Linked DNA regions of Saccharomyces cerevisiae S288C. Changing the gene in region 3 together with the main gene of any one other region gives a genetic interaction. Each region holds a gene or a part of one and is shown on either strand. Other genes may lie near its edges.

Evidence for each region.
Region 1: mutations in YCL002C (region 3) and ASI1 together harm fitness more than expected from each alone (negative genetic interaction), as found in Saccharomyces cerevisiae (2 studies listed by BioGRID).
Region 2: mutations in YCL002C (region 3) and HUL4 together harm fitness more than expected from each alone (negative genetic interaction), as found in Saccharomyces cerevisiae (2 studies listed by BioGRID).

The regions. Positions count from the first base shown.
Region 1 is NC_001145.3:503,387-507,715, forward strand, and holds ASI1 (putative ubiquitin-protein ligase ASI1), read left to right. Parts: upstream 1-1,946; coding exon 1,947-3,821; downstream 3,822-4,329. Other genes in the region: bifunctional phosphoribosylaminoimidazolecarboxamide formyltransferase/IMP cyclohydrolase ADE17, read right to left, coding at 4,116-4,329. UniProt on the Saccharomyces cerevisiae protein: E3 ubiquitin-protein ligase which transfers ubiquitin to substrates promoting their degradation.
Region 2 is NC_001142.9:500,205-505,265, reverse strand, and holds HUL4 (putative E3 ubiquitin-protein ligase HUL4), read left to right. Parts: upstream 1-1,874; coding exon 1,875-4,553; downstream 4,554-5,061. Other genes in the region: MLO127 (Mlo127p), read right to left, coding at 1-1,330; DNA-dependent ATPase RAD26, read right to left, coding at 4,654-5,061.
Region 3 is NC_001135.5:110,204-113,658, reverse strand, and holds YCL002C (uncharacterized protein), read left to right. Parts: upstream 1-1,983; coding exon 1,984-2,025; intron 2,026-2,101; coding exon 2,102-2,851; downstream 2,852-3,455. Other genes in the region: YCL001W-A (uncharacterized protein), read right to left, coding at 118-579; RER1 (protein retrieval receptor), read right to left, coding at 1,177-1,743; PGS1 (CDP-diacylglycerol--glycerol-3-phosphate 3-phosphatidyltransferase), read right to left, coding at 2,989-3,455.

The sequences.
Region 1 (4,329 bases), on a different chromosome or scaffold from region 3:
TCACGTAGAATAGTGGATGACAGAGTATATAAACAAAGAAAGAAGCACTCAGGATTTTCTATAAATAGTGAAGTTTTCTATGGACGCCAAAAAATCTTAAGGGTATCTTGAGTGTAATCATCATTGGAAGGATTATTATCTTTCACGAGTAAAATACTATTAATAACTAGTAATTTCCGTGAAGTCATTAAAATGAACAAAACGATAAAACGGTTTCTTATTGCTAATGTGCTGATTTTTTGCCAAAAGGTAAAATCTAAAAATATCAATTGCATACCTTCACATTTGGTATATTACCATATAATAGCAAGATGACATAAATCGGTGAGGAGCAGTTACCAAATTCCATGGAAGATGAAAAACAGGGTTGATAATATAATAAACTGTTGGAACGAGAGTAATTAATAGTGACATGAGTTGCTATGGTAACAATCTAATGCTTACATCGTATATTAATGTACAACTCGTATACGTTTAAGTGTGATTGCGCCTATTGCAGAAGGAATGTTAAACGAGAAGCTCAGACAATACTGAAGCTGTGTTAAAGACCTATTAGTTGAACATGTTATGGTAGGTACATATATGAGGAATATGAGTCGTCACATCAATGTATAGTAACTACCGGAATCACTATTATATTGGTCATAATTAATATGACCAATCGGCGTGTGTTTTATATACCTCTCTTATTTAGTATAAGAAGATCAGTACTCACTTCTTCATTAATACTAATTTTTAACCTCTAATTATCAACATAAACAATGGAAGAAAAATAATAATATTACCAAGCAAAATTATTGTCCTTGTGGATTTCGATATTTTCAACAGGTACCTTAGTAGAGCTGAAGTTTTTTCAAATTAAACATTTATGTGGTAGTCATATATATGTGTCATGCGAGTCTTTACATTAAATATATGGTAACCACCAGAGAACTTGTTATATTAGTCACGATTAATAATGTTGGAATAAAAATCCACTACCGTCTATCAACTAGTAGTTATATTATCAATATATTATCATAGACGGTGTTAGATGATGATATAAATTATGAGAAGCTGTCATCAAAGTTAGAAGAAGCTGAAATGCAAAGATTGATAATATGATAGGATAATGAAACATATAAAATAGAAAGAGGGATAATCGTAATATTAGTATGTAAAAATATACATTCCATTTTGAGGATTCCTATGTCCTCGTGGAGAACTTTTAGTATATTCTGTTTACCTAATATTATAATCTTTTATCAACAATGGAATCCCAACAATTATCTCAAAATTCACCTATATCTCAAATAATAAACCGATCGGACTGCGTTCAGTGAACCTCTCTTATATAGTATAGGAAGATCCAAATTTATTATTCGCTGATATGACCTTTTGACCTTTACATATTAACGAGGTGCTTTTACCAATGCATAGACGAGCAGCTTATCCCATAATGAGTTTAAATTCTATTCAACTCATAACAACTTATAGTTGCTATAGTCACACCTTTTCAACAGATAAGTGGTTGTTTGGCCGAGCGGTCTAAGGCGCCTGATTCAAGAAATATCTTGACCGCAGTTAACTGTGGGAATACTCAGGTATCGTAAGATGCAAGAGTTCGAATCTCTTAGCAACCATTATTTTTTTCTCGCGTATTCCTTTGAGGGCGCCCCTTTATGTTGAAATATTGAGAAGCTACGAATCAAACTTTGAAGTCAGTTGAGTAAGCAATATGAAAAACATTGGAAAATACAATAAAACACAATTACGAAAACTATATTGTTTTGAACAGAAAAATAGAAGGAAGTACTAAAATTACTCTTTCACCACACAACAATTTTAACTCAAGAAGATAATCACTGCTTACTTTTATATTTTATAGACAATTTGCACTTTGGGGTATTTTTCTTAATTTTATCTGGGTTTTTTTCTTCTTTTTACAAAGAAACTATGCTAAGAATATGAACTCTTCCACTTCTTCAGAAAATGTGTTCATAAATTCATTTAGCTATTTGAATCAAACATCACAAGCCGTAATCTCAGGTAACTCCACTTTCGCAAATGTTATCAACTTTCCTTATAGACTTGGATTATCCTTTATTGGGGCTGTGAACTTGCAGTACGAGCAAACCGTTAAATCTGAAGAAATTCCCCCAACTCTAAGGTCTGTTTTTGATACAATAGGGTTTTTTTTCAGCCCGTACGCCATATTTTGCTTTGTAATCGCCATTGTCCTGAACCGGTTCGTTGTATTTTACGCCGTCCTTAACAACGGTTCCAGACGTACTTTACCGTTATGGTTGAGTAATGTTTTCCATGTATCAGCAGTAGTTGTATTAGCAATGGTATCCTTAGGTCCGCTGACCTTGGGTAAGGATTTCAAAATATTAGGCGACCCTGCTTTTGCCCAAGAAAAATTTTTACTGAATATATTCTACGCTTTCGCTTACTCTTATTGTGTCGAAACCATATTTACCATCATGCGGAATTCCAGCCCTTTGGAGGGCACTGACTATTCATTGTTTGAACTTTCGATTCAGTTTTATACAATGACTAATAATAATACTAAATTTTTAGATTCTCCTGATTACATTATAGACTGTTCTATGGCTATTTTGAGCAGGATATTGATCCATTTGGTGGAGATTTTCAGGCTTAGAAATTATCGTCTACTTTTTAGTACTATTATGAACCTCTGTCATATTTGTTACTTAGGGATAAGAGTTAAGCAGGGCGGCTGGAAAAGCCTTCCATTTTCGGTGAAATTTAGGCACTTTCCAAAACTGTTTTCAGTGTCTATTATTTGCTTATCATTACTGATTTTTAAATTATCATGCTTAATTAGATGGGATCCATTTGGAAAATCACGTAATTCTTGCGAACTTTTACAGTTTTACCCTCTCAGTAGAAATTGGAAAAAATACTTAAATTACACGGGAGAAGAAGATTTTTCTGCTATGGCCACTAAATTCGCACTATTATTATGCTCAGGAACTGAACTAATGGAAAAGGGTATACGAAGAGAATTTCCTGCTATTAACATCCCGGATAATGTTAATGAGAAATTTTTTATTAGCGGTTATTTAAATGAACTTTCTAAACCGTATAAAGAGAACACTTCCATCAGCTTCCCAAAGAAAAATTCATCAATATTAAAGCAAAGATTTTTTTTAATGTTTCCAAAATCTATAATATGGATCATGAAGAAGCTTGTAGGCCAAGTATTCTTTGGCTTCAGAGATAACAAGGACGAGGACATCCCCGACAACGACCCATCAAAAATGTTAAAGATAACTAAAACGAACTCTCTCAATAATAGTGCCGGCCACAAAGAAGATATTGAACTTGAACTATTGAACACATCAGATGATGAGTATTCTGAAGATTACGAGCCTTCTGAAGTTGAGTCACTGGGGGATTCTGATGAAGAAAACTTGGAAGAAGATTCACTGATTTTCAACGAAACTCGGGATGCCCTACTGGATTTATTTTCTTCCGAAGATAATGAAGTTCATACTGATTATAATTGGATCATGTCAACTAGCCGTATCCTTCAACAAAAATTACTGTCAGATAAAACTTTGACAAGGGCGTCTATCTTAGATACAAAGTTAAGTGAAGTAGATGAGACTTTTGGTACAGAAAGTGATTTTGATCTATCTTGCGCGGTATGCAAAGTCAATGAAAGAAATACAGTATTATGGCCCTGCCGATGTTTTGCCATTTGCGAGGATTGCAGAATTTCTTTGGGTTTACGTGGGTTCAGCACTTGCGTATGTTGTAGGAGTAAAGTTCATGGGTACTGTAAGGTTCATCCTGTTTCAGATAGTAAATAATAGTTTAAGAACTTTTGCATGGTATCTAAAAGAGGTTTTTCGTTTGGGAGCTCTAGCATTAATTACTATAGCTAGAGCTTTCTGTGTTGCACATATAAACATCATAATAATAAATCAAGTTTTTTTTCTTTGGGAAATGTTCGAATTAAAATTGTACTTATAACATATCGTATCATTAGTATATATATAAAAGTGTCAGTGGCGATTATATCATTAGAGGAGGAAAGAATAAACTATACATCGATTTGCCGTCATTTCTGTATTTATGGCATATTGACTCTGAACTCATGCCATCTAATGGTGGAACAAACGGATTGGGTTCTCTACGTAAACCAAATCGAATGAATCGGCAGCTGAAAATACAACCTTGTCCATGACAGAACCAGATGGAGCGGCAATGTATTTGACACCGGATTTAACTGCTCTGTAAACATTGTCTGGGAATGGGAAAAATGCATCCGATGACAAAGAAACGTTGGTTAATTTACTCAACCATTCCTTTCTTTCT
Region 2 (5,061 bases), on a different chromosome or scaffold from region 3:
GCTTCATGCAAGTGGACGCGAAAATGTCCCCACACGATCGAAATTTCAAGCACAAGTATCCCTGCCCACAGTGTAATGATCCACAAGATAAATGTGACTTGGTGTAGTTCCCTATCAAATCGGAATATAAGGTTGATTTGCAAAGAAAAGAACCAAGATGAACAAAATTACTATGCCCTTCATTTCTGACTGAATATACTGTAAGATGGCCCTTTGGGGATACCAGTATCCAACACTTCTCATTGAAAAACGCTGCAAGGTAGTGATCATGTGAGGAACCACCATTGATGGGAAGCCTCTCAAACAAGGCCTTTTCCCAGATATACGTATCGTCTTCAAAACTGCTAAGGATTGCATTCATTCTGCATGTTATTAGAATTGCAGTACTCGTCATAAATGTAAATGTTAAATGATTTAATGTGGTATCCGCTAAAATAGGCTGCAAAAGTTCGATTCTTTCCATGTTATCAGACCCAAAGGCACCAGGCCCTTGGTATATTTTGTCTACCGTTTTACCATCAATGGTCTGTTTCGATGACAATGCATGTTTAATAAAATAAGTTTTCCATGGCGTAAAAACAAAATGACCAATATTGGTGACCGATTTGAGAAGTACTTGTGAGACCGTTGCTTCCTCCACAAATGTTAAATTGGTAGTTCTTTGCCACTTCGTTCCTTTGGCTGGTTTAGACTCGAATACACACACGCATGCTTCCAACTTATATGCAACCTCATTGTGTGCACGTGTGAGAATCGACAACGTAAAGACATCCTTATCTAAGAAATCATTGAAATTGATACACGCATCTATGGATACTATCGGTGAGGATGTCACATAACTCAGCTTAACGTCTGTTTCTTCCAAACAAAAAATGTCCTCAGTAGAAATCTCGTAAATTTCAGTGCATGACAAATTAAAAACCAGAGCTGTTCGTAGTGGATCTTGGAACATGAACTTTGGCTCTGATCTTACCTGATCAATTCCTGTTTCCAGAGATTTCACTATTTTGTAATCAAGGTTGACGAAGTCCAACCGTCCCGTGGCTTTCAACAGAATATAAAATCTTCGGTTAGGTGCAGTATGATCTTTGAAATAAAAGGCTGCCATTGTATATCCGACAGTCCTAAGTCTTAACTTCTTGCGCGCTTCATCTTGTTCTACCCCTTCAAACACATCTATATATTCTAGTCCTATGACCACCAATTCTCGGCTCTGTCCTTCGAGTCCATCTTCTTCCCTAATAAAACATTTAACTACATCCGGGGGACCATCAACCTCACTTACTATAATGTTGTCAGTCATCGCTATACGAATCCTCCCTGCTGGCATGAGAAATTGGATACGCCAAGCCCTGGGCAGCCTCCTCTTTGCATCGTTTCTCTTGCTTTCATCTTTCCACTATCCAATTACCCTGACTCTCGTTCCTGTCTATCATGAGTCTCTTGTCAAGCCAACAAGTGCTTCCTTTGGAGGTATACGATTGTCTCAACTTACTATGATTATGGAGAGGAGAGCAACGCCTACGTGTCAAGACCCATCGTTAACCGAGGTCTAGCTTTAACCTTGTATCTCCTAGCACTTTTAAATAAGGCAAAAAGGGAGTAGGGTCATATCTTTCTGGGACCCTTTTTTTGTGATTGCCCCAAATAAAGGAAAAAAATGGAGGTTACAGGATTTTTTGAAGAGTCAGGTATAACCGCCCATGTGGAACAGGTAGATAGATAAATATATTCGAAGGATTGCTAGATAGGGGCAAGTTTTTGCATGCATTTCTCGACTTTAAGCAGAAAAGTACATATTTTTAAGGGCATTGGTGAAATTTACCAGGTATATCTCTCGAATACTGCGGCTGATAGGTAAAGTAAAATAGGAAATGGTTTCTTTATTTGATAAGCTTAATGCAAAAAAAGACGGTAGAGATGGATCTGTGTCGAAGGAGTTGCTATCACATTCTGTAGCCCATACTAAGAACAGGTTACCCAAATCAGGAAGGCGCACGTCGGAACGGTCCTTAGCCGCTAGTGTAAAGGACGGAAGTTGCTCAAATAGCAAAAGCAATAAGCGGAACTCTTCGGCATCCGTGTCAGGGGAAGAAGATAAATCCTGTCTAATTTCACTTAATTGCCTATGTTGTGGTGTCCCACTACGGTTTCCAGCCTCCATAACGAAATTTCGATGCAGCGCATGCCAAGTAACAGTTATTGTAAAGGAGCCGGAAATTAACAGTAATTTGGAATCTAGTACGCATATTTCGTGCACATTAGAGGGTTTGCAGATGGTAGTAAGGCGGTGCCATGATGATTTGCAGCGGCTTAAGAAGACTGGGATTCTGGATAAAGAAAGAAAGGGGTTGATTTTCCAACCGGTAATAACGTATTTACTGGACAGATTTCATGATGTTAGCATTTTAAACAGGTCGTTCTTGGTACATGATGGTGGAAAGAATATAAAGATGCTGAATTATGAAGTTTTACAAAGATTTTACAGTATATTATCAAATCTTCCTACAAGGAAACCGTATTATAGTATGCTGTGTTGCTGTAACGATCTACTGAAGAGAATAACAATCAATAAAGGGGAAAATTTGCAAATATTACAGTATCGTTGGTTGCTGATTATATTAAATATACCTACAATACGAACCTGCCTTATTAGAGATCGGAAGAGCAAAAATGTGTTTGAGACCCAACAAATAAGGGCGGTGTCTTATGAGTTGGCCAAACGATGTATTGGCTACTTGTCTAACCTATCAACAAAAACATCTCAACAATTGATTCAATCATTACGGCGAACGCCTACGGATAATTTTTCATACCAGGTAGAGATTTTAAATTTATACATCAATTTCCAATTTTCCAGATTACTGTCGAACGAATTATCAAATAGAACCGCAAAAAATAACGTGAAGCCTGAAGATGAGATGCGATCTCGTCTTCGTCGGCATCACACTACTGGCCATGAATTCCTGAGTACTAGACCAATAAGTGCACAATCAAATGATAAACAGGGAAGTGGTTTCACGCATCCCGTCAATAATAAGATGAAATTTAAATTTTTTCAATATGAGGAAGACTGGCATATTCACTCTGCAGCAAAATTGACGTTCATCTATTATGTAGCCAATACTAGAAGAAATGGCCGTGGAGCGTTGTCAATTCAAAGCTTTTACAATATAACGCTAGACTTCATAGATTATAAACAAGATTTCGATCATTGGAGAGGAGTAGCTCAAAAGACAAAAATGAATCAACTGATTGAAGAGTGGGGAAATTCGACGACAAAAAAATGTTTTTCATTCTGTAAGTATCCATTTATATTGTCACTCGGCATCAAAATCTCTATTATGGAGTATGAAATTCGCAGAATCATGGAACATGAAGCTGAACAGGCTTTTTTAATTTCACTGGATAAAGGCAAATCCGTAGACGTTTATTTCAAAATCAAAGTACGGCGTGACGTTATTTCTCATGATTCATTGAGATGTATCAAGGAACATCAAGGCGATTTATTAAAATCGCTGAGAATAGAGTTTGTTAATGAACCTGGAATTGATGCGGGAGGGTTGAGAAAAGAATGGTTTTTCTTATTAACAAAATCGCTGTTTAATCCGATGAATGGCTTATTTATTTACATAAAAGAAAGCTCACGTTCATGGTTTGCCATTGACCCTCCAAATTTTGACAAATCAAAAGGAAAAAACTCACAACTGGAATTATATTACTTGTTTGGAGTTGTCATGGGGTTGGCGATTTTCAACAGTACCATATTAGATTTACAATTTCCAAAGGCGCTTTATAAAAAACTATGCTCAGAGCCTCTGAGTTTTGAAGATTACTCGGAATTGTTTCCGGAGACAAGTAGGAACTTAATAAAAATGCTCAATTACACAGAGGATAATTTCGAAGACGTCTTTTCTTTAACATTTGAGACTACGTATCGAAATAACAACTGGATTTTAAATGACAGTAAATCGAGCAAAGAGTATGTAACGGTAGAATTATGTGAAAATGGCAGAAATGTGCCAATAACCCAAAGTAACAAGCATGAGTTTGTCATGAAATGGGTAGAATTTTATCTGGAAAAGTCCATTGAGCCACAATACAATAAATTTGTTTCAGGTTTTAAAAGGGTCTTCGCAGAATGCAATTCTATAAAATTATTTAATTCTGAAGAGCTGGAGAGATTAGTGTGTGGTGATGAGGAACAAACTAAATTTGATTTCAAATCGTTAAGATCCGTGACAAAGTATGTAGGTGGCTTCTCCGATGATTCCAGAGCGGTTTGCTGGTTTTGGGAAATTATTGAAAGTTGGGACTATCCATTGCAGAAGAAATTATTACAATTCGTAACGGCATCTGATCGTATACCTGCAACGGGTATCTCTACTATCCCATTCAAAATTAGCTTGCTAGGGTCGCATGATAGTGATGATTTGCCATTGGCTCATACATGTTTTAATGAAATATGTTTATGGAATTATTCCTCGAAAAAAAAACTAGAACTGAAATTACTTTGGGCAATTAATGAATCTGAAGGTTACGGGTTCCGCTAAGAGTCTTCAGAATATACATATACACATAACACATACATATTTTTTATAGATATTTCTATGGGTAAAGTTACGTCAAGGGTACTCTGTCCATTCTAAGTTTTCATGAAGCATTGTTATTCCTAAATTCTTCATCAAGCACCCACCCTTTACGCTCTTTATCAAACTGTGCTATGGTTTTTAATAATGCTCTAACCTTAATAACGTCTTCTTTATCAGAAAGACTGACGCCAATGCTGTTAAGTATGCTAACACTAGATGAGAAAAAGTTATTCTGTTTCTGTAAATATGCCCGAATATTTTCTAGCGTTTTGGTATTGGAATTGATTTCCTTGGATCTTGCGAAGGTTATACCATCGTCGTAATTTTCTTGGCGAGCTTCCTTGGATGCCTCTTTTTGTGATTTTGTAATATTGCCTAAAATGGCAGCTGATCCAGTTAATTTATTTTTCAACGGATCTCTCTTTCTAATTTTACCTGCTTTACCAAACCTACCTGTCCAAGTAGGTGT
Region 3 (3,455 bases):
GAAAACAGCTTATCTCGGTTCCTTAAAACTGGCTTATTTGCTCCTTCTCTGCATATATCAGAAATTTTTTCAGCAGTGTCTTCGCATAAAATCCAGGGGAGCATAATATTATTATTCTCAGTTCATCAAAATTGAAATTTCTAACCACTGTGTCATCCGTTCTTTCTTGTCACACAATTTGCTAATATCAGTTCTATCTTTCTTTTTTGGAAACTTCAATTTTAGTTTTAATATAATTGAAGACGCTTTCAATAAGCAAATGCCAGAAAATCCTTCTTGCAGAACCACCGTAGCAGTTTCTGAGTTTGATTTGGAGTCGATTGCTTCTTTCAAAAGTTTTCTGGCACATTTGTTAAAGTGGCGCTTAATAGCAGTAAATAGATGTTCACTGGTGCTAGCTATATAGCGCAGATAATTCTCTATTACATCAAATTCGTGGGATAAGTTTTTTAATCTTACAGCTACTAAATTGGTAACTGTTTTTCTTATCATCTCATTCTTCTTAGTTTTGAATAATTTTTCTGAAATATAACCTTGTCCTTCTTGTCTATTATTATTGATAAATTGTAAAAAGGTCATCTTTAAGTTGACGAATCAACGTGATAATTGTGTAACCGTTATCTTCGCTGTCGTTTTTGCTACAGATATGATTTTCATTTTCCATTGAAGTCTATTGTGCCACTTAATCAAAATGCGTTCGATGATAAATTTACTAAGTTCTTTAATAACTTGGAAAACTAATACACTAAAACACATGCACGCCACGGAGTATGGACATTATAAACGTGTGAACATTTCAAACTCACAACTTGCATGACATTACTCTCTCTTTTGCATCCTTTATTCCTCGACATACCCCATTTCTCACTAATTTGGTATTAGTAATTATGCAGAAAGGTTCGAAGCTGTCAATTCTTTTTAGACATGTTTCTTGAAAGTCTTTACAAAAATTTATCAATTGGAGGCATCTCAAGCTCTCCATTTATAAATGGAAGAAAATGAGCCTCTTCCCTTCAATTTTGCTTAATCAATAACTTCATGTATTCTTCCAATATAAGAGAAGATGAGTAGAAGGAGAAAATAATCACAATTATTCTGTAACTATCATATAATTTTGTTTACATATAATTAAGATACGAATGTGTTCGTTGAATAGGTATGTGGAGTCAGGGTATATCAGTTAGAAGAATGAGAATATTTCTTCTTACCGATATCTAAGGGTATATATCTATATTTTATCATATGTTGAATCTGCCTTCTCATAGTTAAAAAAAACAATAATATGAAATACATCAATAAGATGGGCCAAAATACTGGAATATCGAAGATTGAAAATAGCGACAACAAGAGGGAAATGACAGTGGCTCTAATGCTGTTATACCAGAATTTGAACTCTGGTAATCTTCTGATGAATGGACGGAATTCTTCTGATTTTTCTCCAGCTTCCAATTCGTTGTTTTCTTCATCTTGCTGTAAGGACATATCGAATTTTGGGGTCAAAAAGGCTAAAAATTGATTCAATAAAAATAGACCTAGACCATAACAAATCACATACCAGCCTTCGGCCATTGTAATACGAACCATAAACAAACATAACAAACCACCCAATACAGCCCACCTCTCCTTAGCGTGAGGAGTGACTTTATCCAAATAGTGTTGATATAATAATTTCATTGTATTCATCTTAGTGATTAAGGGGTTACTTGAACCACCGTTCATTGTATCAGAGCTATCGTAATCCATCTTGCTTCCTTTTTTTGATACTCTATGCCTTTCGTGTAACACTTAGTCCCAAATCGAAATCGCCTTTCTTGTATCGTTATTTTTCTTATGTATAATTCGTGTTCTACTGCAGAGGCGTGTTTTGACAAGTTTTTTTTTCCTCTGCGAACGAAAAACCCACAATTTTTAACCTCATTGAGGTAAGGTTTTCCAGAGGAGAGGTTGAGGAGCCCTGCGAAGCAATTATATTGAATCATTCACATGCTTGTTATTGTTCTGCAGGGCTTGGCAGGTTTTTTATCAGTATGCATAATTGAAGGAGAAAGTATACATGAAAGGTTTGACTAACTAAGGGAGAAAACTTCCATTTCTTACATAGATCATCGCCATTCTATGTCAAAAGCGCTATAATAAACTTCATCGATCTATTTACGGGCTTTCATATGATTTATTTCTGCTAGATTTTGTTGGTAATGGTCTGTACTTGTATTGCGCGTTGCATTATTGTTATTCATCTCTGGTGAGGGAACAACTGTCTCAAAGATTCCCACTTTTTTATCCGTTGAATGATGCCCGTAGTATACCTATATCCAGTTTCCTCATTCTAAAAGATTTTTGCGTTTCCTGTTGCTGCATGATGGTTTTAAGGCAGTTATACTATTATAGGTCAACTAAACATATTTATCAGGGCATTTCCATTACTTCCATAATAATTATAAGTGTGTTCCTTGTATTAGGCATATTTACATATGGCTGTTCCATCTCTAATTTACCGTTGAAAAATTCAGGTAAATTTGGCGTTTTCTATTTGGAACACATAAATTATTTGTGGGTAATGGCAAATCTGCTTAAATGTTTCAAGTATGTGCCTCAAATGAGTATAAACTGGATGGGATGCTCAACAGTAGGTTTATCATCAAAGTTTGCATTGATATCATTTTTGGCTGAATCTATCGATTTATTAGGTAGACTGGTAATACCGACCAATGCATTGTTTTACGAGATACCATTTAATTCAACGCCCTTTTGGGTAAAATTGATACAATTTGTCACCTTATTGGTCATACTTTGTCAAGTTCAGTATGTTTACGTAGGACGGAAACCACGGTTGCCAAAAGGAAAACTATAACAAGGTCAGCTCATTCTCTACCTTAATGGCTTTGCGATGTTTGCAAATTTAAGGAGTTTTAGATAATGCATTTATTATTACTATTTTTTCTTTTATTTTTCCATATTTACAGGCGACATACTATGATAGAATAGAATCTAAAGTTTTTTACCCAAAATGGAGGTAGCTATCTTTACACCAGTGCCAACATGTCTTTCTGGGTCTGATTGAAAGTCTTCTAGAGTTACAGGTTTTGTATATTGTAATAAATTATCTAACTCTGCTTTCATTTTTTTTCTTAGCTCTTCATCTCTTGTAATAATGAGAGCATTCGATTCCAAATCTAATGAATACGCCCTTCTCGTATAGTTTGAAGATCCTATAACCGTGATAAAGGGTTTCCAATTGTTAGCATCATTTTTATCACGAGCGGAAAGCCAAATACCTTTTGCGTGATATGACCAACCATTCGGCTTATTTACTACGCCTCTTTGCCATTCTCTTAATGTAATAGCATGATCTTGTCTGTACCTACATACATCTTGTAGAAATTTTTTTGACAGGTACAAGTAAGCACCAGGTAAATTTGATGAGACGCCCTTTGATTGGTAAAAGCCGTTTGCAA